Linked DNA regions of Oreochromis niloticus. The protein of the gene in region 2 interacts with the protein of the main gene of each other region in a pairwise test. Links are inferred from orthologs where the notes say so. Each region holds a gene or a part of one and is shown on either strand. Other genes may lie near its edges. The genes, in order: pdzd11 and pleckstrin homology domain-containing family A member 5.

The links.
Region 1: the proteins of pleckstrin homology domain-containing family A member 5 (region 2) and pdzd11 interact in binary tests that used the Homo sapiens proteins (3 or more experiments, as listed by UniProt). The two-hybrid records come from large-scale screens. The link is inferred for Oreochromis niloticus from reciprocal best matches to the Homo sapiens genes PLEKHA5 and PDZD11.

Annotation. Positions count from the first base shown.
Region 1 is NC_031966.2:19,888,079-19,903,985, forward strand, and holds the start of pdzd11 (PDZ domain-containing protein 11), read right to left. Parts: upstream 7,203-15,907; 5' UTR 7,064-7,202; intron 6,889-7,063; exon of another isoform or gene 6,478-6,888; intron 6,386-6,477; 5' UTR 6,371-6,385; coding exon 6,278-6,370; intron 4,077-6,277; coding exon 3,936-4,076; intron 3,826-3,935; coding exon 3,727-3,825; intron 1,303-3,726; coding exon 1,215-1,302; intron 665-1,214; coding exon 630-664; 3' UTR 1-629. Other genes in the region: glycerophosphoinositol inositolphosphodiesterase GDPD2, read left to right, coding at 15,878-15,907. UniProt on the Homo sapiens protein: Mediates docking of ADAM10 to zonula adherens by interacting with PLEKHA7 which is required for PLEKHA7 to interact with the ADAM10-binding protein TSPAN33.
Region 2 is NC_031981.2:426,607-442,182, forward strand, and holds the start of pleckstrin homology domain-containing family A member 5, read right to left. Parts: upstream 7,216-15,576; 5' UTR 7,175-7,215; coding exon 7,005-7,174; intron 6,880-7,004; coding exon 6,803-6,879; intron 6,099-6,802; coding exon 6,041-6,098; intron 1-6,040.

The DNA.
Region 1 (15,907 bases), on a different chromosome or scaffold from region 2:
CTCACGCGCAGTGTATGTAAAACTCGTGCCTGGAACATAAAAGTACCAAACCCCTCAGTAGCAGTGACTGAAATGTATATTTACATCCCTTAGCATTTCATACACAATTACAAATATTTACTAAATATGAAAAAACAGCATTGTGCAATATATTCATAAATTCAACAGAGGTCTGGTGACCATAACTCATATCAAGTGATGGTGTTTCGTCCACACATATGCAAACATCTGCAGAAATATCATAACAGGGCTCGAGGAAATGTGGGAAAGGTCATCTTTAAATCCTTTGCTTGACCAGAAAATATCTATTATTTATCTGTTCTATATAATTTATAGTTTAAAATCTAATTTATAGTCTTAAAAAAAGTTCTGCATAGAAACTTTAAAACTTCCTAACCATATATTCAATCGAAGTAGAGTTCATCATGTGAAGCATGCAGAAAGGAGTATCTATGAAACTCAGTCTTTAACGTCATGTATATTTTCCTTACATGAAAGACTGAATGAGATTGTTAGTCATACATTAGTCATCTTGAAGCTGAGACAGAATGGAGGCCAGAGTGTGTGGGAGGATTGTAGCGAAGTGCAGTTAAGTATCCCTCTGTCTTTGTCTCTCTCTCTGCTGCCATCTAGTGTACGGTCCTCTCCTTCTGCCTTTGGTAGTCTGATAAAACAACCCACAAAGGACACCATTAGAGTACTGACATGGGCACTGTTATAGATTTCTGTATCAGTATGACATAGCTCAAAGTTTTACTGATTTAAAGTTTTTATTGTCTTTTGTTTTTGCACTCAGATAAGCCAGATGATAATCTTATTATTATGATGGCACGATGGCATACTGACAATGTTCAAATTCTTGAGAAATTCAGCATGTTTTAAATATATAACACATGCTGTATTAGCACACTGAGGACTAGTAAAAGGCACAGACTAAAACCTGCTTTCAAACCCAAAGTGAGCACAACAGTTTCCTCTGAGCATTTAACCTAACAGCAAAACAAGACTCAAATATTTAAGGACATTAAGTGTAGATCTGTCTTAAAATAATATCTTACAAGATCCCCATGAACACAAATTTTTCAGGAAAACAATTTTTTCTTTCTTCATCTCTCTAAAACATCTTAACAGTTGAGATAAAAACACATGTTGACATAAATGTTTTTTTAGGTTGTCATCATGCTCCTGATACAATCGAGTAAACCAACGCTTACTGTAGGGAAAGAAGCGAACCCTCATCAGGATTTCTCGCGCAGTTTTCAGAATCTCTACAGCCTGAAGAAGACAAACATTATCCATGATCTTAAACAGAAAATATAACGCAATGTTGTGATGAACAAGATATGGAACAAAAAGAAAACTGCAACATTTGGCTCCACTTAATCTTGCATTTTTTTAGTATGAGATCTGCTGTTTCACTGGAAGAGCAGATAGATCAGGAGGACAAGCAAAAACTTGTCCTCCTGACAAGTTTCCAAATACAGAAAGTATCTGTGAGTAGATGCTTTCTGTATTTGCACATTAATGCTACAACATGCATTTACATGTCAAAATTCAAAAAAGCTAATATTTACACATTAGATTAAATGTCTAAATATTTTACATGCTTCAACAGGAACTACATTTTTCAAAATAAAAGCATAATGTATATCTCCTCAAGCATTGCTGATTTTAAACAAACAAAACAAAACAGAACACAAAACAATTATGGTGCATCTGGTGTGTCATTATTTCTCACAGCGGTTTGATTATGGCCAGAATGGCTTACACTGTAATTCTCTTATAGAAAGTCATTCATGCTTGAAAAAAATATGCAGGGAAAAAAGTTTCAAGCCTTTTTTGTTTTGATTTTGATGATTATGGCTTACAGCTCAGGAAAATCAGAAATCCAGCATCTCAAATTACCACAATATTTCAATATCAGTTTAAACAAATTACCGTTCAAATGGTACAAATACAGTGCATTTTTTATTCTCGTTCAGTTCATGCAACCACAATCAGGGGGAAGTCTGCTGACTGACAGCCTTCCATGATGAGGGCAAACCACAGAAGGCCAGTGCTGAAAAGACCTGCTGGTCAATGCTGTGTCAAAGCATATCAATGGAAACCTGGCTGGAAAAAAAAAACATGACATGGTAGGAAAGTATCCACAAGCAACAGGGATGGCCGCAGCTCTGAGAGGACTGCCAGGATAACTCCATCCCAGAAGTTGGGAGACCTTCACAAGGAGTGGACTGAGGCTGGTGTCAGTGTATCAGGAGCAGCTTTGACATCAGTTCAAAGCTTAGTTGGAAGTTTTTCACATGAAAGTAAATTTTTTTGTTTCATTTAGAAATCAAGTTCCTAAACTCTGGAAGAAGACATTTTAGAGCACTTGATGCTTCCAACTGCCGGCAAGATTCATGGAGATGCCAATTTCCTTTTACAGCAGGACTTAACACCTGCCCACAACGCCAAAACTACCAAATGGTTTGCTCACCATGTTATTAATGTGCTTGAACAGCCAGCCGTCTCGCCTGACCTGAATCCCACAGAGAATCAATGGCACACTGTCAAAAGGAAGATAACAAACACCCAGGCCAACCAGGGCTTCAGTAACACCTCAGCAGTGCCACAAACTGATCACCTCCATGTCACGTTGCACTGATGCAGTAAATCATGGAAACAGAGCATTGCCCAAGTATTGAAAGAATAGGTGAACACACTTTTCAGAAACTGGACATAGTTAGATTCCAAATCCTTTTTTAATCTGAAATATTCTACTCATTTGAGATAGTGGACTTCTGATTTTCATGACTTATAATCCATAATTTTTTGAATGAAGGTACAAAAACAAATGAACTTTTTCGTAATATTCAAATGTTTTGAGATGCTCTTATATATAATGCTCATTGTGAGTATAAATGTCATGGTAATTTTTAATGGTAAAAGTGAACTCCAATTCCACCAAGAACAGTGGTCAAATATCCGTCAGAATAATTCAAGAACAGGACCACGTTCATGACAGGGTTAAGTTTGTTTTACAAGTATAGCCACAATGTGTGAATGAGTGTGAAACTAATAATCCAAGAATAATAAAAAGAATAATCCAAAAAGCTTCTTGATGGCTATCAAAAGCATCTGGTTGAGGTGCAACTTGCTAAGAGACATTCAACCAAATATCAGTGGGTGTGTAGGGATATTTCTGAAAATAAATTAAAAATGTGTAAATACTTACTTTATTAAATCTAACTTAGATTTAATTTAATAAATTGCCTCGTTGCTGATACTGTTGTTGTTGCAGGATAGGGTAAAAATCTCACCCACAGTATATAAAAGGGTATCTAATATCAAGTATTTTCCTGGGTATAGGTATCGATTTTTTCAACTCTTGAAATTTTGAAATACAAGTAAAACAATATGTCTGGATTATCCTATACCGCACTCCACCAAATTAAAGTTTACCCACTTTTTGTAATCGTGAGCTTGATATTGACAAAAAAATTATTATCGTGATCACCATTAAGGATTACTTGAGCAACCCCGCCTTGAATATGTTCTGACTATAGTGAAGATTAAAGAGCACAGCACAGTATGTGAAGCTATTTGTTAGTCTTGTACATACATGAATAGAAATACATCTAAACTAAATCAGATTTATGAATATCACAGTAGATTTCAATATGTAAGTGTGTGCTGGAGACAATGTGTTGAATAAAGCCTGTTTGAAATTCAGCCTCGACTTACTCTTGAGTGCTCTATGTCTTGGAAATCAACATCATTCACTGAAAGAACCTGGTCTCCCTCCTGCAGCCCTGCTCTGTGGGCGTCTGAATCTGGGACCACCTGCCAGCACACAGAAATTATTTAAATTGATTAAAAATAGGCAAACAAATAGTCAGCAGCACAGCAAGAAAAAAAAAAAAACATACTAATAACCAGGGCTGTGCACGCACCTTGGATATAAAGATTCCTAACTGTGAAGCTTTCCCACCACGGATATTGAAGCCCAGCTGCGCTCCTGGAGGCTTCTTCAACACAATGGTGCGAGGCAGAAACTGTGTGAGCTCATTGTTATAGTCAGGATGATGAACCCGCTAAAAATGAACCAAGAGAAGAAGAACAGCCAGCGACATTTAGTTTCTCCAAGTTTGCTTCTTCTGCCTTAAAAACAATGTGATGAGAGTGAACCGCCTTGTAGAATATCACATCGCATAATACACATTCAGCATCACCTGTTTGGAAAATAAGCAGCTCAGCAACAACAACAACAACAAAAAAAGGTGTTTTCATTGGGATAACAAAATCTGGAAACAGCACATTCACAAAAAATATCCACCCATTTGCTTTCTGTAGCACATGTAATGGTATTGCACAGTCCTGACATTTGCAGTCAGGCACCAACACCTCTTTACTTGTCAGATTTCCAAACGCATATAAGACAGGCTTCAGGAACTCACTGAAACCCAAACACTAACTGAAAAAAGGAGTTAAAGGCGCCAACTACGAAACCATGACAGACAGAAAAGCCTCAAGGTGACACAAGGACTGTGCGTGCACCTACAGGTTACAACCTGTATGTGACCACCTATTATCACGTTACATTGGGAAGCCCCATTCCTTGGCATGGAAGATGCCATTAAAAGCTACAAAAAAGCAGTAGCAAGAAAAAAAAACCAAGAATCTTTGTGACTCTCAGATAAACTTAATAGTATTCAGTAAAATTACCAGTAGATACTTTAGATACAGCACTGTGAAAAAGTATTTACCGCTTCCTGATTTATTTTTTTCCCATAATTGTGACACCTTCATATTTTAGAACATGAAACAATTTTTAACATGCAACAGCTACTGAAAGATAACCCAAGTACAAAATGCATATTTGATTATGATGTCATTTATCAAAAAGGCCCTGTGTGAAAAAGTAGATACCTCCTAAACCCAATAACTGGTTGTGCCACCCCTGGCAGCAAGAAGTGCAATTAAGTGTTTACAATAACTGGCAATGGGTCTTTCACATTACTGTAAAGGAATTTTGACTCACTCTTGCACTCTTTGTGGACCACTCAGAGTTAAACTTGCTGGAGTGTTTCGTCATCTTACTAAATAACCCAAGTTTGCTCAAGCAGGGACACAAACTGATGGCCATTCATTCTCTCGGGATTCTCTGGTAGAGAGAAGAATTCATGGTTCTATCAATTACGGTACATCGTTTAGCTCCTGAAGCAGGAAAGCAGCCTCAGACATAAACACTACCACCACTATGCTTGACTGTTGGTATGATGTTCTTTTTATGAAATGATTTGCTAGTTTATGACAGATGTAAAGAGACACAAACCTTCCAAAAAGTTCAGTTTTTGTCTCATTAGCCCATAGAACATTTTCCCAAAAGTCTTGGGGATCATCAAGAATATTTTATGGCAAATGTGAAACAACCCTTCTTTTGAGTCAGCAGTGGTTTTCTCCTTTCTTATTGTTTAATAATGACCTTTGACCTTAACTGAGCCAAGTGAGGCCTGCAGTTTTTTAAATGTTGTTCTGGGTTCTTTTGTGACCCTTTGGATGAGCCATCAGTGCACTCTTGGAGTAATTTCGGTAGGTCAGCCACTCCTCAGAAGGTTCACCACAGTTGCATGGCTTCTCCCATTTGTCGATAATGGTTCTCACCGTGGTACACTTGAGTCCCAGAACCTTAAAATGGCCTTGTACCTCTTTCCAGACCGATGGATGTCAATTATTTTGTTTTTCATCTCTTCTTGAGCTTCTTTAGATGATGACTTTTTGCTTTTTAGTAAAGATCGTTAGGCCCACTTCTCTTTATCAGACGGGTTCTATTTAAGTGATTTCTTGATTCAACAGGTCTAATGAACTGAACCCAAAAAATGTGGTTAATCACAGTTCATCATGACGTAACAAGGGGGACAGTTACTTTTTTCATGTTCAGGGCCAGGTAGGTTTGAATAGTTTTTCGCTCATAATAAATTAAATATCATTTAAAAACTGCATTTGTATTTACTCTGGTTATATTGGACAAATATTAAAATTTGTTTGATGATCCCAAGCATATAAGAATGACAAATATATATAAAAAAAAAAGTTAGAAATCAGTAAGGGGGCAAATACAATTTTCCGGCACTGTAAGACGGTTTTACAGCAGCCAAAACATTAAGCACAACCTATAAATCATAACTAAAGTAGAAAAGATAAAAAATATAAATATATACACTATATAATAAGGTACAAAATGTTTAGCACATGATTTAAGCACAAAGGTTAGTTGGAGTAATATCTGCCATACCTCCTGTGGAGGTATCCATGCAGGCGGGTTCTCATAAGAAGGCAGGAATACCACTGGCAGCTGGTAATCGTCGTAGGGAATTTTCTGGTCCATGGTTGCTAAAATTCCCTACCGAGAAGAGAATAACAGTTCATTGTTATGAACTACGGATGCACTGGACTGCTTGATACAAATTAAAGGGAAATCCCCGAAATCCAGACCGCTGATTTAAAGAGCTCCGGTGTCTCTACTGTGTTGTGGTTTCGGACACGTAACTTCAAGTCAATATAATGTCAGTCCCTATTCCATGACTGTAATGCCTTCATTCACCGGGGTTTGGCATTAATGTACCCACATTATTACACCCGGTTTTGCATGTATCATTTTTAGATAAGGCATAAAGAGCAGAGAAGACCAAAACATCAGCTAAAAACACAGCTGCGTTCACAACTCTGTAACAGGTTAGCCACCAAGTCCGAATAGGGACGTTATATGGCTAACACTTAGAAATATCTTCTAAAAAAAAAATACGCATGTGGATCAGGGGAAAGAAGCGAGATAAAATAAACGTGTGAAATTATCTCACAGTGGACAGTTTCATATGGTAATAACACGCAAACGCATCCCGAGCTAGCACCACGATTAGCTTACTGTTTAACTGTAAACGAGCTAGCTCTGCTCTATTAAACAGGAAACACTTTGACACGCGCTATTATTATCACAGGAACTTTAAAATAAATGCACTTGGATCATTTAGCATTGAAAAACATGAATGACTGCAACAAAACAACAAAAAATATATCTCACCTGCCAGTCAGAGGGCTAGCAGTGTAAACTTGCTGCTGTAAGCAATTGCAGGCAGCTATAGTGCGTTATCGCCCCCTCCTGGTGTGGAGTAGTTACTACAAGACGTCCGACAGCACTGTGGCGTATTCGCGCTTTGAACAGCTACAAAAGTCAAAGCGCGTGAATTCGTGGATTGGTGACTCGAGAGGGCGCAATTGAACAGCTTTATTCACTGATTACAGAGGTCCTAATCACAGAGTTGAAGTTGTAAGTAGCTTAAAAAGTGAATAAATATGAGTACAAATTTAAATTACAAGTTTTTGTAATACTTTTTGCAATTGTAAATGTGAAAAACAAGTGTGTGAAAAAGTTACAAGGTTAACAAAAATTCTACATTCTCACATTTTATTCTACAAGCTCTCACGTTTTGCTGCATATCGACCTCCTGAAAGCTCTTGCAGATGGAGAAACCTAATGGCGGCTAGCTGGAAAATCAACCGGGAAGTCTGTAAAACACTTCTGTGATATCTTGCAATTTGACCAAAAATATATTTTCTTTGTATTGATTTGCACATTATCCAAGGGCCTTCTTCAGTTCTAAAAGGTGGAGAGTCTCAGGTATTTGACCCCTAGTGGTGGTTGACCCTGTGGGGGTAGTTGACCTACTAGTGATCATATGCATCATCCTATCAGCCAAATTTTTAAGACTGCCATGATCTGGATGACTGAGAACCTACACAGACATATTTATTATGTTTGCTCATCATTTATGTCCCTGTCCCGTGTCCGGATAGTCATATTCTTACATATAATTTTATGTGGGGAAAAAATGATCAGAAATTAAGATCACGCACGTCCTATATGTGAACTGTGACTTATATTCCTTATATGCTGCAGTTGCATATGTTTGCATTTCTTTCTAACTTAAGCAGAAAGAAAACCAAGTGAGAAATGTGTGTTGCGAAATGTGCCCACGTTGTGTGAAAGTTTGTGTGAAGTTGCTTTGCAGAAACTTGACGCGTGATATGGGCTCCATTATGTTAAAGCTTTATAGTGCATACTCTGTAACTGCATTTATCATCTTCAGCCAAATAGTGAAGCGTGAACATTTTTTTATTATCGCAGATCAACAATGGCTTCAGCACTCAGAAATGACTTTGACGATGGTAAATCATGCACAGTGTTTACTGTTCACCGAGCTTGTTTCAGAAGGCTTCAGGTCTCTGCAAGTTGCACATTGCAATTAAATGAAATGAAACCTGTGTTGACAGATTGGAATGAAAAACACAGAAACTTCGCAAGATAGATAAACAAAACTATGGCAAGTTTTTTTCAGTTTTTTTTGTTTTGTTTTTAAATATGTCAGCATACCGAAACCACTTTCAAGAGTTCCATTGTTGCTGGAGCATTGCTGGAGTACTACTATAACCAAAGTAACATTAAATAAAGTCATAGTAAAAAAAGAAAAAAGAAACTCCACCTTCTGTCAATTCTAAACTTTTATATATCAGGACATAATCAAAATCATCTATTTCCTACCAAAGTCTTCAGATTAGGTCAATACAACGGGAGATGAGCAACAACAAAGGATCTGTTATAGCGTGTCATTGTTTATTTAAGAGAAAACTAAGCCAATGTGTAGAAGCAGTGCGTGAAAAACTAAGTACGGGGTCCATACACAAAAGTGGTGCTGAGGATTATAGCTAAGCATCTCTTTGGTCTCATCTCTCCAAAGGACATTGATCAAGAAGCCATGTGCTTTCATCAAATGCAAATTTGAGAACTTGAGCCCTGCGATCATGTTTTAGGTTTTTGGTTTTTAAGTGAAGAGACTTTCTCCTGGAGATCCTCCCCCACCCCAAAAAAACAGACTTGTTCAGTTTTTTTAATTGTACTGTCAAGATTTTTAACATTTAACTTGCTTACTGAGGCCTATAACGTCTGAGATGTAGCTCCAGGGTTTATTGCAGTTTCTGAGTACCCCGCTGTCTGGATTTCAGGTGAAATTAGTCAGACATCACTTCCTGGGACGATTGGCAGCCGTCTAGAATGTTTTTCACCCCTGAATAATCATTCTCACTATAGAATGATGGGTTTCAAATTGTTTGGAAATGACCTTGTAACCGTTCCCAGACTGAGCAAGAATTTCCTTTTTCAGGATCATCACCGATGTCTTTTTATATTGACATTGTGTTAACACACACCTGGAGGCGCCATACCAGCAAACTGCCAAAAACTCTGTTTTATAGAGGTGCTTAGATTTTTACAAGGATCAATAAATCAAGTGCGTTTGATTAGCAGCACCTGGCAGCTATTTTAAGTCTTGATTCCTGTGAAAGCAGTTAGGGCATGCTGAGTTTTTCACACGCTGCTTCTTGCATTTTGACCAAGTTTTTGTTAAATAAGTGACAACACAGAGTAAACGTCATGTTTTGTTGATTATCTGAGGTTATGCTTATCTAATTTTTGGACCAACTAAAGACCACACATTTTAATTTTATGCCCTGATGTGTAAAACCTTACATGTTACAGCGAGGGTGTCCTTTCCATTTACCATCAGAGTACATTATGCCTGCGTGACTTAGTTCTAACACTGCTGTAAAAATCAGATATTCTGATTTTTACTTGAGAAAAGGTACACCATCCAATACAGGTTTTTTCAGTTTGACTAATTCTCAAATGACTGTTGAAGTTGTCAAAACAGTACATCATAGTTGACAGGATTTCGTTACTCTTGCACAACTAAAAGTACATGAATCATTCTTTATGGCACACGTGTCTACAATTTGATTTTGTCTTTAAAAAGATTTTAAAAAATCTTTTTTATAAGATAAACGGTTATATTCTCCAAAATTATATTAGAATTAGTTTGTTGCTCAAGTCATGAGGTGCAGAATATTCCATCAAACTGTAAAAAATTTGCCAAGCTGTACACAAACGACATGGATAAGGAGTGGTCATCGTAATGTTTCCAGTTTCATGTTCATATTAAAGCAGCTTTCTTTTACAAAAGGTATCCATGCAAAGATACAAAAATTAGTATAACCAGCTGACAGGTAAGGTGGCACAAGAGGTCATGACAGCATACGGCCTCATAGAAACCCAAGTACAAGGTGCACATATTTTGTATCAGAGCTGGAATAAAGACTGTTCATGCTGTGTTTTGCTTTTCCACAGGCTTTGCTTTCAACGGTGACTTTATTTTTCCACAACAGGAGTGAAGTCTACTAAACTCATATGTTTGTGTTCCAGGTAAAACTCCCATAAGAAGGGGTGGAATTTCCCACATCACCCACATGCCGTCCAGTTATTTCGCAGGTATAAACATCAGGTAAAACATATTTATTTAGCTTGACATGTACGCGCTCACTCATATAAATATTTTACAGGGGCAATACGGAGGAGGAAGGATTAGCACATGTAGGAGTGTGGTTAATGAAAGATAGATATATAGAAAGATGCACATGAATGAAGAGGATGGTTCTTCTTCTGTTAGAATGTAAGTTAGAGCATTATGTTTGAGGTGGTGAGAATCTATGGGCAAACATGCTTGCACAGCATGATGCCCTTACTACATACTGAACATAGTTATATGTTGTTTCACCTCTCCCCCTTTTTTTTTTACTGACAGTTAAGAACTCACATATCTTTCTGTTCTGTGTGAGTAAATGCAGTAAAATGCAAATGTTCTTCTTTTTATTGCAAACAAATTTTTTTTTAAAGGGCATGTTTTCTTTAAATCAGCATCTGAACACTATTCAGCTACAGAGCAGGGAATCCTTAGAAAAAAGAGAGTTTGGTACAGCAGGCATTCAAAATGTCACACATGCAATGGGAAGTATAGTCCACTGATTCTGACATATGACAGTAACTCACTAATTGACTCAGAAACTACAGCGTGTTGATGAATAGATAACAAACAGGGGAAAAAACCCGAAAGAATCGAAAACAATCTGGCATCAGATAGCCTTTTTCAGGATGATGCATGGGTCATGTATATCTGCGCATTATACAGTAACTGTTGATGCATCCATACATAAATAAAGATGATGTTGCAGCTGACCAGCTAGATCTTCTTTTACCCCTTTAAGATTTGTCGATTAGGCCCATATATACGTAAAGAAATTATCATAAAAAACAATCTAAAGTCACTTGTCACCTGTAGGTGAGGAGCCTCCGGGCTGCTTCAGGAACAGCGCAGTGCGAGTTTACTGGAAATGGGCTCGTTTACAATAGGAGCAGATGATGAAACACAAAAGACAATTCACCTATATTCATATATAAATTATCTGAGGACTATTTAAATATATTATGTCGGTTCGTATTATCTCTTTTTTTCTTTTTTTTAATGTCTGGGTACCTAGAAAAATCATAATCAGAAACTGGATGAGGCGTGGCCACGGCGCGGACGCCCTCCAAAAGGTTGTGCAGGTATTCTCTCACACTATCTTTCCTCACTTTGGCGGTACACCCCTAGCCCGTCCCTATTCATGCACCCCATTTACATTCAGCCCACAGACTCACGGCAAGTAAACGGGATGGTGGAAAGAGAGAGTGGCGGCAGAGGGGCTTTTCCAAGACCGGCGCGTCTTTGCCAGTTCGCAGCGTGCGCCGATCTCCGTGACCTAGATTGACTGGTGAGTCGGTTTGAATTTGTCGGGAAGCTTACCGCATGGGTTTTATTGCGGCAGACAGACAGAGAGATTGGTTTTTGTTCCGAACAACGTGTTTAAATTAAATGTGCGCACACACGTCTCCGATCTTAGAAATATATAAGACAATACCTGCACAGGTACATAGTCTGTATTATGCAAACTTTCTAGTTTTCAGAAGTGTTTTGTACAGAATGCAATAAGCTGCTGGAGTAAAGCGCTTGCAAATGTGAGCAAGCGCTCCAGATCCAAGCGAGCACAAGAACGAACTCACAAGATGAAAAAAGTGCAAATATAACTACAGCGGTTCACAACTTCTGACTACATACTATTACTACAGATGTGTGAACTTGGATTTATACAAACCGTTTATTCCATCAATCCAGAAGACGTTGAATAAGAAATAGGCATGTGTTCAATAGGACGCATGGTCACCAAACAGTGACCTTCATGGACAGGTGTATAACATGTTGATATCTAGGTTAAAAACAAGCATTTTGGAAGAATTTTTACATGGAGACAACAGCAGAGTAATAGGATCAGATCTAATTTTAATTAGTGTCCTGACAGATAGATGTTTTAAAAACGACAAGCAACTTATTCGTGTAAATCAGTGCGTAGGAAAGTGATTAAATATATAATTGTTTCCCCCTCCGGATTCAAAGGATGAATCAGTTTATGAACAAAGCCCCGCGGACCCCACAGACTCAAGCGAAATCATTTTGCCTGTTGAGTCATCTTGAAATCATTGACTTAGCATCAGTTCCACAGTTTCATTAAGCCACCACAAACATAGATTTCTCCTTGTAAAGTGCCATGCACCTGACTCTTTTGTCTTGTTTTGGTTTGTGAGCACTCAGCTAATATAATGAAGTCTGAGTTTGTCTTTCCGGCGTTTATTGTTCAGTCTTTTTGTCAGCATATTCCCCTATCCCTTTATCCTCGGTTTCCCCTGTTGTTCTTCTGAGGAGCTTTAGTTGTCTGTTTTCTCCCCGTACCATTGTGAGTCATGCTTTAGTTTGTGTGTGTGAACTATATTTTAATCCTAGATTAGTATTTGTGGAGTTTACTATTTGTGCTGTTTCCCTCAGTTATCTGTTTCTGCGTTCCTTTGTCATTATCTCTAATTTTTGAGTTTCACTTCCCCGTCTTGATTGTCTGATTGCCGTCACCTGTCTCTCCCGCATCAGCCTTCTTTTCTCATCATGTCATCTGTGTATTGCCCTGTGATTTCTGGTTATATTTCTAGTATTTATTTGATTCCCTCTTTGGCAATTGTCAGGTTTGTTATTTGCTTGTCTGTCAGACTTAACATCAGCCAAAATAATAATACACAGTCTATGATTGTGACACTTCACACTGAAAACCAGCAAGATGAACGGAACAGTTAGGACCATCCAACATTATTCCCATACTGTGTGAGACACATGGGAAATATCAAATAATATCAGAGCATTTTAAACAGCACTTTTTTTAAGATGTCAGTAATAAAATGAAAACTCAAACGTAGATAGAAAAAATATATAATTAAGGGGGCATTAAAATGGTAAATGGCCTGTATTAAAATCACACATCAGATCTGATGAATGAAACATTCAAGCTGAAAGCAAAATGATGTCAGTGGAAACCAAATCCAAATCAGTATTAACATTTTTCAAGTGTTCTTGTTTTTGAGCAGTGCAAGATTGCACAACTGGCTGACCTAAGTTTAGAACTAAATCTATTTACGTCTTATTCATAACTTCTGCCAAAATTTGGTTCCTGAGTTGCGTGACTGTTGAAGTGGGTCGCTGAGAGCTTATAAATCAGACTTAATAAAATGTTGCATTATTAGCCTTTTTTCCTGGATATAAATTGAAATAGAAATGATAGAACTAATAAAGGAAGCCCAGTAAAGAAGTGCATAAATCTTTGTCCAAAAAGGAAATAAAACCTACAAAGATGAGACAGATCATAGACAGTGAGAGTGTGAAAGCAATAAGTGATAGTGTTTGTTTCTTTTTAATATTCTTCTTAATCTGTATCTAGTGGGGTAAAAAAAAAAAGGAATCTTTATAAACAATTACCTGAAAATTTCACTCCTCATCAGTTTTTTATTAATGGAGCATGCTCACGTCATTCGTGTGCCTAATTGCAGTTTACATTATAACAGTGTAAACGTTGGTTAAACAAATTGGAGAGGTGTGTCTGACCGATATCATTAAATCTTCCAAACAATACAGGTGGCAGTGTGCGCTGTGGATTTCTTGGGGTTTATCCACCATGAGAGGATTTCCTTGTAGTCTGAAGTGGCGCTTAGTATAAGGTTTAGAGCAGCAATAAAAATGCCATAAGATAAACAGCGATAGCTTCCAGTTACTATATTAGGCAGGGGCATGAAAAGGACACTGTTTTAAGGAACTCAGCTGTGACTTTCAGTTATCCTTTGAATTTAAGTGACATTTTTGTTTCTTTAGTCACAAACTGATGGCGTGGTTGGTCACATATTACGGTTATTGCTCAATATTTAGCTCATAACTTCCTGGTAAAGCAAGTGTCTCTGGAGTGAAACAAGCCTTCTTACATTTCCATGTCACAATTAGACCTGTGGATCTGTCCAAACAGGCTCTTGTTGGCAACTCTGTCCTAATTTCAGAATGCTGATTGCAGTGTGCCATTTTCTTTTACAGAATAATTTAGAGTGATTTTTTTAGGTTTCATTTTTACTACTTAAAGTTTATTATGCTCTCACCTTGAACATGTTTGTCACCTCATTGTAAAAACAAGAAGAACAATTCAGGTGAAGAAATATTTGGCAAAACTCCAGGGATCTAGTTTAACAAGGAAGAGTTGGCTGTGCACAATAGAAACCTTTATTGTTCAGTGTTTCAGTGGGTGACATTGTGTGTAAATTCCCATGTCTTTCAAGAAAGGGGACCAAAGCCTGACACAACTGTAGAATGATAAGCCCCAACATGTTGACGGAAATCTTGCTGTGACCCGTTCACAGTTTACTTCACTTCAATGTAAAAGTGTCTGGCAAGCCAAACCATTTTTATTTCTGTCATAGTTTATGTCATTTTCTTTTTCATTCTTTCCATTTGTAAACTATTTGTCGTCTTCACTTTATTTCCTCCTCTCTGCGCATGGCTGTGCCTGTCACCGTGTCCAATAGTCTGACTTCACTCTCAGGCCGGTCTGTGCACCACTTTCAATACCCCATGGTGTTGGCCATTGTAAATGCAGCCAGTTGCTATTTTAGACACAGGCTCTATTGAGGGGTGGGAGTTGGGGGGGTGGAGGGTGGGGGGGGGGGTTATTGGGGTTACAACTAAAAGTACAAACATCAGCTAAAAAGAATCATTCTTTATGGCACACGTGTCTACAATTTGATTTTGTCTTTAAAAAGATTTTAAAAAATCTTTTTTATAAGATAAACGGTTATATTCTCCAAAATTATATTAGAATTAGTTTGTTGCTCAAGTCATGAGGTGCAGAATATTCCATCAAACTGTAAAAAATTTGCCAAGCTGTACACAAACGACATGGATAAGGAGTGGTCATCGTAATGTTTCCAGTTTCATGTTCATATTAAAGCAGCTTTCTTTTACAAAAGGTATCCATGCAAAGATACAAAAATTAGTATAACCAGCTGACAGGTAAGGTGGCACAAGAGGTCATGACAGCATACGGCCTCATAGAAACACTGTATCTACACCCAAGTACAAGGTGCACATATTTTGTATCAGAGCTGGAATAAAGACTGTTCATGCTGTGTTTTGCTTTTCCACAGGCTTTGCTTTCAACGGTGACTTTATTTTTTCACAACAGGAGTGAAGTCTACTAAACATATGTTTGTGTTCCAGGTAAAACTCCCATAAGAAGGGGTGGAATTTCCCACTATTTCCCACTTGCTATTTTAGACACAGGCTCTATTGAGGGGTGGGAGTTGGGGGTGGTGGAGGGTGGGGGGGGTAATTGAGCAGGGATTGCCTTAATACCCCAAAGAAAGTTCGCCCATCACCCCCTCATTTGCTTTCTGTCACAGTCGCCTTTTTCTTTTCCCTCCAGCACACCACAGGATTGGTGAGATCAATCAGCCCAAACTTCGTCACTGCATCCAGAGAAAAGCATTAGCTTCTTCAGTGTCCGCACGGCACAAAACCAGATCTGCGTTTCCTACGCTTGTGGATGAGGAGGAGAAATGTTGTGTCAAGTCTGTTTGTGCTGCCTG
Region 2 (15,576 bases):
ATATCATAAATATATTTATCATTCAAATATAATTTTACAACCTACTTTGTAAGCATGCCCCAACTTTAAGTCAAAGACCTCTAGTACACTATACAATGATTGCAGAACAGAGACTGTTGACGGTAATAAATATAGGAAAGAAAGAAAAGGTAAAGAATCATCTGGGAAAGTTTTGTTGGCATTTCAAACTACTTGCTTATTCCTAAGACATAGGCTGAGCATTCATATGATTCCATGGAGATAACTTTCTTTGTATGATTTCAATCTTCTGAATACAATTTGATTTAAAACTCACACCCTTTAACAAAAAAAAAAAAAAAAAAAATCATTGTCATAAGTTAGTTAATCTGCACACCAACTAACTAATGACCAGCATGATAGACTCTTCAGTCTAAAAACAAAGAACATGCCACATTTATACAGTGCCCTCCATCATGTTTTGGACAAGGACATTTTTTTGTCCTTGAGTTTTGCATTAGAACACCATCATAGTGGACTGTAAATCAAATGACTGAAGTGCAGACTTTAAGGATTCAGGGTCACCTGGTCCAGCCCTAACTATATGCTTTAGCAAAAAGGAAAGTTTGAAGCCTAATCTTGAAAGCAGAGATAGTGTCTGTCTCCCGAATCCAAACTGGAAGCTGGTTCCACAGAAGAGGGGCCTGAAAACTGAAGGCTCTGCCTCCCATTCTACTTTTAAATACTCTAGGAACAACAAGTAGGCCTGCAGTGTGAGAGCGAAGTGCTCTAATAGGGTGATATGGTACTACAAGGTCATTAACATAAGATGAGGCCTGATTATTTAAGACCTTGTATGTGAGGAGCAGGATTTTGAATTCTGGATTTAACAGGAAGCCAATGAAGGGAAGCCAAAACAGGAGAAATCTGCTCTCTCTTTCTAGTATCTGTCAGGACTCTTGCTGCAGCATTTTGGATTAACTGAAGGCTTTTCAGGGAGTTTTTAGGACATCCTGATAATAATGAATTACAGTAGTCCAGCCTGGAAGTAATAAATGCATGAACTAGTTTTTCAGCGTCACTCTGAGACAGGATATTTCTAATTTTAGAGATGTTGCACAAATGGAAGAAAGCAGTCTTACATATTTGTTTAATATGTGCATTGAAGGACATGTCCTGGTCAAAAATGACTCCAAGGTTCCTCACAGTGTTACTGGAGGCCAAGGTAATGCCATCCAGAGTAAGAATCTGCTTAGATACCATATTTCTAAGATTTTCAGGGCCGAGTACAATAACCTCAGTTTGATCTGAATTAAGAAGCAGAAAGTTAGCGGCCATCCAGGTCTTTATGTCTTTAAGACATTCCTGCAGTTTATAATTGGTGTGTGTTACCTGGCTTCATGGACAGATAGAGCTGCGTGTCATCTGCATAGCAGTGAAAAAAAAGGGAAGCATGTATAATGTAAACAGAATTGGTCCTAGCACTGAACCCTGTGGAACACCATAATTCACCTTAGTGTGTGAAGAGGACTCTCCATTTACATGTACAAATTGGAGTCTATTAGATAGATATGATACAAACCACTGCAGTGCAGTACCTGTAATACCTACAGCATGTTCTAATCGCTCTAATCCAGTCTTTAAGGGATGTCGTGATGAATCCTGCTTCCGGGCCCAAACTACTCTGCGTTTATTAAGGCTTTTTTGTTTTTAACATGTTTTAATGTTTTGTATCTTGTTATATTTAATCTGAACAAGCCCCTAAAAACAGTCAGTGATCACTGTCGGCCTCTCTCGGTTTTTATTACCACTGTTCATTTTAAAGCTCAGCATTTAAACCCTTACGATGTAACTACAGCCCAGCCCATGCAGCAGTATATTAATGACTAACCTCGTATTGTGGATGGATTATCTCAGTTGTTCTCCTGACTGAAGTTTGGTCCGTTTACAGCATCCTGCCATGCGATCGCATTTGTCCCTAACCATCGGGAACCCTCACGTTAACTTTTATCGAGTGGAAAAAAGTTAGCGTTCACCCTCCAGCTTCACTGTGTTTATGCTATGCTAACATAGCTGTGTCGCTAGCGATCACGTAGCACATCATTATATAGCAGCTAGCCCAACTTCAGTAACCCTACAAACGTCACTGCTGTTTAGTTTTCTGTCTTCATTTATGTTGGAAGTGATAGCAGAGCTGTACGTTTGAATGTTTCAGAAATCTCTCAGTCAGAACATGCTATATCATGTTTAGGTGGAAGCTAGCGAGCTAACTTCCTGCTAACTTCTAACTCTGTTAAATGTAATAAATCCTGTTTTCATGGATGCCTGGATGTTAAACTTAATTGTTACACCTGGTAAAGCAGCAACGCTGATCATTTTATTAAAGATGAAAGAATTTAGACAGTTTTTAACTCTCTGTGATGCTGCAGTGTTCGTTTGACTTTGGGACCTGCAGCGGAGTTTGGGCCCAGACACGGCTAATGACGTCAGACTTAAAGACCGGATAGGATATTATGGTCAACAGTATCGAACGCAGCACTGAGGTCTAGCAGGACAAGCACAGAGATGAGTCCACTGTCAGAGGCCATAAGAAGATCATTTGTAACCTTCACTAAAGCTGTTTCTGTGCTGTGATGAGCTCTGAAACCTGACTGAAACTCTTCAAATAAGCCATTCCTCTGCAGATGATCTGTTAGCTGTTTGACAACTACTCTTTCAAGGATGTTTGATATGAAAGGAAGGTTGGAGATTGGCCTATAATTAGCTAAGACAGCTGGGTCTAGAGATGCTTTTTATGTAAAGGTTTAAGCCAGCTTGAAGGCCTGTGGTACATAGCTGATTAATAAAGATATTTACAGTGTAGTACTGTCTATTCAGTTTTCTAGCATTTGGCTGAGTATAGCCAGAGGCTTGCCTCATATTCTACTCGAGGTTTGCACACTTTCAGTCATTGTGGTTCTAAACTGCTTTTAGCAAACTCCCCTGAATGAAGACTATAAAGCGTAAAATAAAAAGTTAAAATCCATACTCTTACAACCTTAAACCTTTACAACATAAAATAACTTAACCTTCTACATAACAAACTTAACAAATGTACAGTTTCTGTCACATAAAATATTTAAACATGTACTTATTTACATCATAACCACACATTTGTGCCTCATCAACGGGGCTGCTAATGACAAAATAAACTTCCACAAGCTCCGTTACAACACCCTCTCCAACCTCCCCCGACTGCCGCCAAACTGCACTGACAACAGTTATACAGGAAGTCGTTCCTTCAAAATAATAGCATCAAAACTCCAACAGGAAGTTAATCCCAGCAAGTGAATAATGGGGATAACCGCCAAAATAAGATGCAAGTAAACAAAAGTATTTAGGGTTATTTACACGGTTTAGGAGACATTCTTGTCTGCTAAGGAGGGACTTTGTTTCCAGGTAATCCAACATGTCTGCACCTCAGGCTTAAAGAATTCCTAAGTGAGTTAAATTATAAATATGAGGATATAAACACATTCAAAATGGAAACTTGGAGATTAACCCAAGCAGAAGGTGTTTGACCCTGAAAAGCTCAGCCTGGGGACAAATGACCTACCATCACAAACTCAGAGAGCAGAAATGCCCTTCAACGCTACTGATGAAGCGTGAGCTGTGAGGAAACACTTCCAATAATGGACTAATAGAAAAGTGACCGAAGAGGAATTTGAGAGGAATGTGGGGGATTTGAAGAAGTGGTGATGATGCAGTGTCCTTTAGCGTGGCTGCTCTGTGTCAAATGCTTCTCATTGTATTCAAGACTGTGAATGTGGCAGCATGAATGTTCGCCTTCAGCCGAGTACGCCACTTCGAGAACAGCACAGAAGTTGCTTTTTATGGCTTAATATCCAAATGAGCTTTTCCACCTGTAATCACTATTTATTTTGTCCTCTAAGAACACAAACAAAAAATAAATCACACTGTTCAGTTATCAGAGCACCCACCAGCTAGACAGGCTACTTACAATTTGCCAATATCTTACTTCACATTTGGATTGGTTTCATTCAGTCTCCAGAGATGACCGACTTTGACCACTTTGTCTCCTCCTGTCACCTGCTCAGTACAGCTATACTGGTACACACAATTTGCTGCATTGTCTTGGTAACTAAATCTTCAGTTTTTGTTTAAATAAAGTATAGCGTATAGCTAAGCTGAAGCAGTCCTTAATTAGTATACATAATTGGACAGATCTCAGACAAACAGGTAAAACAATAGTGAGTTATACCATTTGCTTCATTCTTTAATCTTTTATTAAACCTGTTTATAGTTTACAATTAGGTTAAGTTATTCAATGCAACTATATGTATTAGCATAGGGTCTACCTTACAAAGCAAAGTGCCTCGAGGCGACTGTTGTTGTCATTTGGTGCTGTATAAATAAAATGGAACTGAGGGAAAAAAATGCTCCAGCTCAGGTCAACTTTAGCCAGGTGGGCCACGGCATTTATGGGTTGTGAAAAATGCTCCCCACATGGACTGCTTCTTGTTGTGTGCCAAATATGAGAAAAGTATCTGAAGATATCTGAGTCTATGTCCACTGTCCTGAGTTAGTGTCTGTTGATCTCTGGCTGCTCCAGTCTGCATGCCAAATGGGTAAGATACTAACTCCAAGCTGCTCTCCGATACATCCACTGGAGCATGAATGTGTGTGAATGTCTGATAGAAAGCACATCAGTAGAAAAAGCATAGAACAAAGTGCTTGTCTGATTAGGTGGTGAATGGGTGAATGAGGCCAGTTGTATAAAGTGTGTTGAGTGCTCAGATAGAGTAGAGAAGAACCAGTCCGTTTACCATCTTTTTGACTCTTTAGATTGTCCAACTGGTGAACGACACAACAGGAGCTACTCCAAACAAAAGATAATACTTGGTAGAGTATGATGGTACCAATGTAGTGATTCCATTAAAATGATCAGTGACACTCGATAAACACTTTTGGCTGCATATATCAAACACCAGCTTGAAAAGCTCGATAGCACTCGATAAGCAAACGAAACGTCAGTAAGTAATCAGAAAACATTAGAGACATGTGCCATCCCCAACAAACAATGAAAGCCAGAATATATGCATGAGTTCTTTACTTTCCTATCATGTGAAAAACGTAAAAACGTGTATGTATTCTACAACTCCCAATCCAAGCACCATCACACACTCATGTCTCTCTGTACTACCTCTGAATGTGTCCTGATCTAATCCCAACCTCTTTAAAATGCTCTGGCTGCATTTGCAGTTATCCAACTGTGCAAGCATGTAATGCTTAACACATGGAACTGTGCTTGCAGGTTTACATGCCCATGTGCATGCATTAATACACTGAAGATGTGTATGGGTACACTCTGCATGCATGTATACATACAAATGAGCACCAGGTTTGGTCTATTTATAGAATGGCTATATTAGCTCACTGCATGTGTCAGCTGCTGCTTTCAAAATATCCACAGATAGCACCAGCAGCTCCAGTAAAAGTCAGTGTGAAAATAGGTGGAAGAAAATCAAAGTGTATCTGTGGTGATCAGAGAGCTGCCAGACAAACACAGCAAAAAACTAATATATGTGTGCAAAAAGCTCACAGGTTCCTGGAGTCGGTTATAAACCTGGAGTGGGTGCACACATACACAACAGACACACCGCACACCAACAAGTAGAGCCTGTTAAGCACAGTGGAGCAACGTCTGAGTCACCCTTGCTTGTCAAACTTGTGCCTCACTAACAGTACAGACTTGTTCTTGGGTAAATCCCTTCACTGGAGTGAGTGTGTTTATGAGACAGAGACAGAGGTGAAGAGCTGTTCAGTCACATCAGTTTTCTACATGTGTGGGTAATGATGTGTGTGCATATTACAGGCCCGCTAAACAGAAGGATTTGGGAATTCCTCCAAAAGGGCAGACAGGCAAAGAGGTGGGAAGAGTGGAGGGAATCTCAGAGCTTACCAACCACACAAAGCAGCACCCCACTGCCCAAGACAAGCCACCTAACCCGTCTCCATCCCTTTCTGCATCCATCAGTGTCTTCCTATCTATGTTTTTTCCATGCCACACATTCCAACTCACTTGATGAAGCAGCGAGCTCCCTCAAATGTATATCCTTCCTCCCATCCTGTTGGTAAATCTGTGAGGACAGGGAGGGAAAGAAAAACAACACAAGACAGCAGGAACATAAGGAACGGTGCACACAGACAGCGAATCAAACAGCAACACAGTTTTTCTAGCGTAATATCTCGTTTGGATTGCGCCCTTTTAAATCAATCCCGTCCCCCCTCCCTCTTGCAGAATTTATCATTTTGTGTGCGTCTGCCTGCTCAGTATCACGCTGGTGGAATACACCATTAATGTGCATGCACCCAATAAAAACCTTCTCCCCACGGCAGATGTGCAAATTTGGGGGCAATATCGTCTCTGAGCTGACTCACAAGCCGCACCGCATTGTTCTATAATCAACCGTGGTGACTGGAAATACTGGGTTTCTGCAGCAAAGCGGAGTATGTATCAAATGTCACTGCAGGGAATCCGCTTGGAAATCGGCAAAAGCCTACGTGACATAACTTTTAAAAAGTGTGTCGCAAAGTGTCCAGGTGGGGTAAGTGGGGTGGGGATGGCGGGGGGACGCCGTGCGCAACGGTCCGACAGCGGAGAGGGGCGACTGTTGCTTTGCTGCAGAGAAGAAATCTACCCCCGTCGTCTTTCACTTGCAACTTGTCGCCCCTTTTTTCCACCGTGACGCGCACATAACCTTTCCTAGGCGCTGCGTGCGTGCGTGCGTGCGTTTGTGCATGGATTTTCGCAGGAATGTAGAAAAAACACATCCTGTATTACCTGGGGTTTTTCTGTGCCCCGTGATGACAGCTTCTCCTGTGACTGGATGCAACCAGGTTGTACTCTTTGCTTCTTCGCTGTTGGTGAAAGAAAACGGGGGAGGGAGAGGTGAACAGAGAACCCGAAAAAAACCCCAAACAAGAATGCGTCGGAGAAAAAAGCAGTAGGTATCCATAAATCCGTGTATCCGCGTCATATTTACTTAATGAAGAATATGCGTCCATCCCGAGTCACCCCATAACTCCAAGAAGAGGGAAGGCAGGAGAGCCAGTCCGGCTGAGGATCCGCCGCCATGTCTAGTTTGGAGCTTTGCTTTACTACGGGTATGGGCTGGAGTGCGCGGCTCCGTGCCAAGCGCGCGCGCACTTCCATCCTGTGCGCGCCTCGAGGAAATGCGCGAACGCGCACAAAAGATAAAGATGCAAGCAACGATTTTGTCACAAGCCTGGGGAACCGGTGGGCTCGTTTTTGGCAGCCGTGTGACTAAACTGGCGCCGGTGAACGTTCCAGCGCGTGCTGATCAGTTAATACGTAGCTTCATCTGTCCGTCCGCACACGAGCTTTTTACAGTGCACTAAATAATATTGACACTGTTTCTTCTTCTTTCGTTTCGTATATGATAAACTATTTCCACTTAGGTCTGCCCTTCTCTGCAAATCAAGAACACGTTCCCTGTGAATATGTTGTATTGTTTTTTCACCACTTATACGGTAAATGGAGTTGTACTCATACCAGTCAGGCATGATATTATTATAATACTATTGTGAAAGAATCCAAGGAAAAATACCGTTTCCATGAAAGGGTGCACATGGTCTGCAGCAACGTTTAGGTAGGTGGTGCATGTAGGGAAATTTTCAAAAAAGGAGTCTGTGGCTGACGCCTGTTCCTGGTTTCCAAAAGGAAATGTTTCCAGTTGAATTATGACTTGAAGATTGTTTTATTTATTACAAACTAAAGCCGTAACAATGAACTCCTTCCAAAATAAGCATAACGTTCAAAAAAATTAGACATTTATCCAGAACAACCTGTGTACTCCTTAGCTCTCCATCCATGCTCCTCTTCCCAAACCACAAAGGTTTTCATGCTGCCATTGCACTTACATGCTTAAAGTGGTGGGCACCTCTTTTGATTCCTATCACAAACAGGGCCATATCATTACCTTACGTAAACATAACCTAAATGTTCAAATGTGCTAATCCTGAAAAGATCAATTATGTAACTTACAAGAATCCATGAATTATAAACCAAACATGAAATTAATTGTAAATCCAAATATAAAGTAGATATCTGACGCCAGCAGTACATATCAAAGTAATATCCACATGGGCGGCCGGACCCGAGGTTTCCTAGCAGAGCAGAGCCGAGAGCATCAGACTGTGTTTCCTAAGTAAGTGACACACAAGCTCCCGGCCATCCACGTGAAAAAAGCAAACATGATTCATCAGAACAGGCCATCTTCCTCCTTTGCTCGATGGTCCACTTCTGATGCTCATTGTTGTCACAGTCATTATGGGCACCCTGACAGGTCTTTGGCTGTGCAGCCCCATAAACAACAAACTGTGATACCCTGTGACACCTTTTTATCAGAACCAGCACTGAGCTGCAGCAGCTCGTTTCTTCAGCTGGAAAATATGGGCAAACCTTCCCACTGTGTGTGAAATATAAATCAAAGCAAAATTTAATGATTTACAAGTCTCATAAATCCATATTTTATTCAAAAAGAGCATATGCACCTTATCAAATGTTTGAAATTTGTCACGGCTAAGCAGCCGGTGTGTTTGTGGTGTGGACCCAAATGCAGACACGCGAGAGATGAACTGAGGTTTAAACAAAAAGCAAGCCTTTATTACTGGACATACACAAAAAACAGAAAAACAAGGTGAAGTGAAACTAAACTGGGAATGAACTAAACTAACTATGAAAACGATGACGTGAGAATATAACATGAAAACTGAATGGGAGCATCTAAAACCTTGAACATGACGTAACCTAAACATGACATGAGAATGAACCTGAACAGTTGAAAGCACGACTCTGTGACCTGATGTGAATCGACATGAAGACAAGAGACGACCCAACATCAATCAGAGAAAGACTTAAATACACAGAAGGGTAATGAGTGAAGTGGAAACACTGGGGGGAAACACAGCTTACGACAATGAACCTGACACCACAGGGGAAATAAAACTAAACACACTGAACATGGAAACACTAGACCTTTCAAAATAAAACAGAAAACATGGAGAGACGTAGACATGACAACCAAACTTGACAATAGGATGCAGAACACACAAGTGTGAATTACATGACAGACTGGGGGAAATGGAAAGGAACACAGGGAGAAGAACATGGGAACAGATAAGGGGGACGAGGCCATAAACACAGAGAGAGAGAGTAGACATAGAGGGCAACCTACACAGACGAAGAGATGTGGAAGAAACATAAACTAGACTAAAACTTATAATAATACCAGAAGTGAGCGTTACTCATTAGTAATCAAAAATACAAAATAACTCAACTACACCTTTAACTAAAAATAACACACAAATCTAAGAAATCAACAATAAAAAATAAACTGGAGACACTGGCTCACAGACCCAGACCCTGACAGAAATTAGAAAAAAATAAAAAACATTTTGAATTTGATGACAGCTACAGAGATAAAATTAAAAAAAATACTTGTGACAGGGAAATATTTATCAGCGAGTAGCATCCTCTCTTCTTCAAACAAGAGTCCATAAATGTTTGGGAGCTGAGGAAATGATTCGTGGGACCTTTGGGAGAAGAATGTAGTCCCATTCTTATCTGATAAACAGATAATAGCTGAAAGGTCCCAGCTGCAGGCAGGCCAGTTCAGCATCAAGACTCTTCTTGTTTTTTTTTTGTTTTTGTTTTTTTTTGCCTGTCCCGTTTGGATCTTTAGCCATCAGAATTGTTGTCTGAAGGCCAAAAAAGACGCCAAGCGGATTTACTTTGCTGATTGGATCATCATGGCCTTGCCATATTGGTCCATTTGATTGACCTTTATTATAATTATGTATTTATTTGATTTGATTTTCAGTTGTTACAGACAGGACAGACATGACTGGGGGATAGGACAGGGAGAAAAAATGAAAGAAAGAGAGGGAGAGAAAGAAAAATAGAGGGGAGAAGAGATGGTGAGAAAGGGGGGAAGAGAGAAAAAAATAGAAAAACAAACAAAACAGCTGGATCACCTGTGTGGGGATAAGAAAAAACAGATGAGAAAACAAACAAAACAGAGCAACATAATAAATACAACCATCACAATAAACTAGCTAACAGTAGATAACAGTAGATACTACATATTACATGTTATTGTGCAGTACGCAAGATCGACAGTGCACAATGTGCTTTCAGGTAGCAGCCAAGAAAGGTGTAGCTTGTGTCTGTGAAAACCCGTGTGCACACCTGTGTGGATCGGCACGCTTGTATTCAAAAGGTTTCTCCATGTAACGATCTGCTAGGGAGTGTGGGGAGCCATAGCCCCGTCCCCCAGGGCATGAAGCAGGTATGGAGGAGATCCAGGCCCCAGACATCCAGAGGCCCCAGAATACGAGGACCCAAGGAGGACCACCGGGGGGTAAATGTGCCACCCTCCTGGGAAGAGCTGAGGAGAGCCCCAAACGAGAGGTCACCCAGCAGTCACGGAGCAGAGGCCACAGGGGGTCGCAGTGACATGCCTGCGGGCTCTGCTGACAGCCAGCTGTGCCAGAGAGGACTGGGCCTCAGGCCCAGAGGCCAGAGGCCTGAGGGCACCCCACCCCCTGGAAGGGGCTCAGCCGGGCCACAGGCGCCAGGCCCCGCCAATCGGCCACCAGGAGTGAGTCGGTACATACATGAGCACCCAGCCCCAGACACCAAGAACCACCAACACACCAACGTCTGAGGGCATCAGCCACTGGCAGGGAGTTTGGTGACGGGAGATAGGCCTCCATACGTTGGAGAGCCTGAGATGTTCCCAGAGAGGTGGAGTCTAAGAGCCAGGCTGACATATAGACACAGACGAACAGGCGCACGCAGACAGAAACGTGCATTCCCCCCATATACACAAACAAATACTCGGCACTCACCCAACGTGGAGACAGACACAAATAGACACTGTACACACATTCACACTCCCCAAACATACTCTATATCCCAGGTCCGGATACCCCTGCCCCCAGAGGGGCAAACCGTACCTGGACCCAGGAGATGTAACCCTTCTCTCTGGGGTGGAGAGCAGACCGCCTCCTTATCTGCAGTAGCACCTGCAGAGTGAGCTCCTGTTGAGAGGAGACCTCCTGCAAAGATGTAACAGCCTCCCCACCAGTTAGAGAGCCCTGCAGTTGGGCCGATGCACCAGAGGTCCCCCGCACTGGGGCTGAGCCCCCCTGCACCCACCCGCCCACCACCCCGGCGACACAACAACCAGGACCCAAGGCCCCAAGGCTCAGCCAGAGCCCCAACCCGGGGGCGGAGCACCCCAGACCCCCAAGCCTCCACGCCCGTCCCGGACCCACCCAGGGGCAGCCAGGCTACCAGGCCAGTAACCAACGTCTGCCAGCACAGACCCTCCCCATCTCCGCTGTACACAGCCACAAGGAAAACACCATCTAAGAGCCACCAGAGCCCCTAACCAGGTCATGGCCAGAACCCCCGAGTTAGGTCCTCCAGGGAAAACGTCCCTAGGGAATCCCCAGATGCCCTAAGGCCGTCCCTATCCCCATATCAACCACAATAGCGAAGGCAGGACCAAACCATGACCCCCACCCCCCACCCCCTAGGTGATGAAGCCGATCAAAGGAGCCCAGAGGGATTGATCAAATGTGATGGCAGAGGCTGTATCAAGACTAATGTGATCTATTAGATGGTTTTTATATTGGTTAGAATTAAGATTATTTTTATTTTTCCAGTTAATGAGGACCATTTTCTTGGCAATGCATAGGGCCGTAAAAATAATGTGGGCTGTGTTTATTTCTGTAGTGACATAATCTAAGCTGCCCAACAAACACACTAAAGGGGAAGTTGGTTCAGACACTTTGATAAGTCTTCACATATCTCGCGCCAAAACTTCTGAACTGGTGGACAGAACCAAAGAGCGTGGCTGTAATTGTCCGGTGTATTGGCTTGACAGTGTGAGCAGTTGTTAGAAGACGTAAAGCCCATCTTGAACATCCTATGACCAGTATAGTGTACTCTATGTAGTATTTTGTGTTGTATTAATTGCAAATTGGGATTTCTGATCCATTGAAAGGTTTTTAAGCAAATCTGAGACCAGAAGTTTTGGTCTCAGTTAACTGATAAATCCACTTCCCATTTTGCAATAGGAAGTGATATTGATTCATCTGTTTTAGAAACTGTTCTGTATATTTTAGACAATAATTTGGGGGGTTTAAGATTAAAAAATTGTACCACACTTGGTGGTGTTTGTACTTCAGCTTCACTTGGATTAAATTTCTTTTTTACTATGGATTTAATTTGTTGATATTCTAAAAATCTTTTCTTGTTGATCCCATATTGTGTCACTAGTCTGTCAAATGGAATAAATTTTGTTCCTTCTAATAAATGTTCTAAGTATTTAATTCCTTTACAACTCCAATCTGGAAAGTTGATCATATTATTGTTTTGTAATATATCAGGGTTGTTCCAGATAGGTCTACGTTTGCATGGGATTAATGAAGACTGTTATTTTTAGAAACTCCCACCATGCTGTCAGAGAAGAGCTGATGCTGATGCTTTTATAGCATTCATGTCGTTGGATGTTTGAGCTGATAAATGGTAGATCTGAAATCTCGAGATTATTGCAAAGTGCTTGTTCTACATCTAGCCAGGGTTCGTCTAAGAAGGTGTGTTTTAACCATCTAAAGATGAAGTGAAGCCTGTTGGCTAAAAAGTAGTGATTAAAGTTAGGCAGATCTAGTCCTCCTTTATCCTTGGTCCTCTGTAGTGCTTTTAAGCTGATACGTGGGGGTTTATCTTTCCAAAGGAATTTAGAAATATACGAGTCTAGAGATCTGAACCAATCTTGTGATGCTTACTTGGGATCATTGAAAATAAATAGTTTATTTTTGGCAAAACCATCATTTTTATAGTGGCAACCCTTCTCATGAGTGATATGGGTCAAGATTTCCATCTAACCAGATCGTCTTCTACTTTCTTTAAAAGTGGGATATGGTTTAATTTAGTTAATTCTGCAAGTTTAGGAGAGATATTGATACCTAAATATTTAATGTTTCCAGATTGCAGTCGGGTAGATGAAGAATTATGGAACAAGCAATTAATCGGAAGAACTGTAGATTTTGACCAGTTAATTGAATAATCAAGCATCAAGACTCTTCTACTACAAAGTCATCCCTTTGCAGTAGATGCAGTCTGTGGTTTAGAATCGTCTTCTTGAAATGTGCAAGAACTTCTCAACAAACAACAAACAAAAGAAAGAAACATTGTGTGGATGGGAGCACATGTTGCTCTAAAACCTGTCTATACCTTTCAGTATTGAAAAGCTTTTGAACTGAGCACTAATAACAAGCCAAATGGCCCATATCCTCTTTAGTTTGAAGGATGTGGCACAACAAATTGTGTTTGCAGACAATGATTTCTGGAAGTGTTCCTGAGCCCATATTGTGACTTCAGTGACAGTTTCGTCCTTCTTTTTAAGGCAGTGCCCCCTGAGGGCCTGGAGATCACAGCACTCAATACTGATTTTTATCCCTTGGAAGAGTTCTCATAATCTTTGGAAAATAATGCGTAAAGATGATGAGATATTTGAATTCTTTACAATTTTACTGTGAGGAACATTATTCTGAAACTGTCCCTCAGATTGTAGGCATAATTTCTTTGGATGTCCATCTTTACGTCTGAGACATTCTGGTTCTTTAAGATACTCTCTATAATAACCATGTTGATAAGTTAATCTAATTTGTTGCAAACACTCCTCCAGCTAGTCCCTTTTACCACTTACTTTTCCAGCCTTTTATTGCTCTCATTTCAACTGAGCAATGAGCAAATATTTTTGTGAAACTGTAAAAGTCTCAGCTTAAACATCTGAATTTTTTAATGTTCTATTACAGTCTTTCTCAAACTGTGGTATGTGTATCACTAGTGGTACTTGGGCTCTCTCTGGTGGTATGCGGGAAATCTCCCATTTTTTTTAAGATGAAATAATACACCATTGTGGAGGTATGCAAAGGAGACACGAGAGTTCCCGAGGCTCCACAGGGAGCCGGAGTCACCAGAAAACATCTCCCCGAGCGCGAGTCCGGGGAGACTTTCCTTATTGCCAGCGATCACGGTCGCTACAGAGCGCTGGCCTTAAAACTGCAGAGGCGGCACGACGCTGTCACACTGATGGTAAAAACACTGCCCTTTTCCGCAGTGCCGCGATCGGTGGGGGCATGGGAGATGCCGTCAGTGAGTCAGGAACTATCGCCTGAATGCCGGAGTTCCTAGTAGCCAGGAGAATGTGATCCGCTTCTTCTGTGAGTGAGCGGTAAGCCTTTGCGGCCAGCAGCAGGGAGTTGACGACTAAGACTACGTTCCCAGAAAGTTGATTTTGTTCATCTGGATGTTTTCAGTGGGAGAAACATTTCGTCACTCATCCAAGTGACTTCTTCAGTCTCAGCTGACTGCAGGTTTCCCCAATCTTATAAACAGTACATTTAAATAACAAAACTAGCACCAATGATTAACAATGGAATGTGAGGTTGGAGTCCTGGCCTAAAGAGTTAGCCCTTCTGTGTGTGACATCTGCTTCGCCAGAGGTTGTTTGGTTTTCATGATGTAATGATGTTTGTGTCAGGGGATCCTTGGGGTGGACCAGTTTTTATTTCAGTGTGTTTTGGTGTTTAAGAGCCACAGAGACCCGGTGTTTAGAAAAAATGCGTCTCAACTGCTCCGATACTCCTGACACATATGGGATCACTACAGGTTTTCGCTTAGGCTGTCAGGGTTTGCCAGGGCAAACCGTGGGGATGTAGGGAAGGAGGACCCAGGCGCAGAGCTCTGTGTATAAGCAGTGCATTTATTTACAGTGCATGGAACCAAACAACAATAAATCCCCGTGCTTTCCCCAGACTCCTGTGTCGTGTCCTCCTTGTGCTCTCTGCTCCCGTGTGTCTGCACTCCCAGTGCTCGCTGCTCTTCTGGCTTCCCACGCTCCTCCTGCAGGAAACAATAGTGGCAGCTGTCAGGACACTTAACTATAGCAGGCATGCACTCAAAGACTAAACCTAAACTGGATGACTAACGTGGAGTCTCACGCAATGATCCCGCGTCGGTGGAGGCTTCACCACACCATTAAGTAGCTCCCTCCGCCGACGCTGATCCACTGCAGGTGTGTGGCATCCTCCTTGGGCGTGGCCAGTCATCCACAGGCCTGACGGTGCCTGTAGCCCGGCCTCCTGGCCACAGCCACACACACACACACACACCTCCCTATACATAGACACATGGAACAAAACCCCCAGACAGCGGAACAGTGCACACACATACACCAAATGATAAATATAATAATAATAATAATAATAATAATAATAATGATAATAATAATAACAGTCCACACTGCTCACGGACCCCGAGTCCTCCAGAGCTGGGTCCGTGACATAGGCAGTGGTTGTCCTTCTCTCCTGGATCGGCTGGAGCTTTCTTTAGGAGCCTTCTCAGCTTTGACAAAAGTCCAGCTGGGATGTCTTAAAGACATAAAGACCTGGATGGCCGCTAACTTTCTGCTTCTTAATTCAGATCAAACTGAGGTTATTGTACTCGGCCCTGAAAAT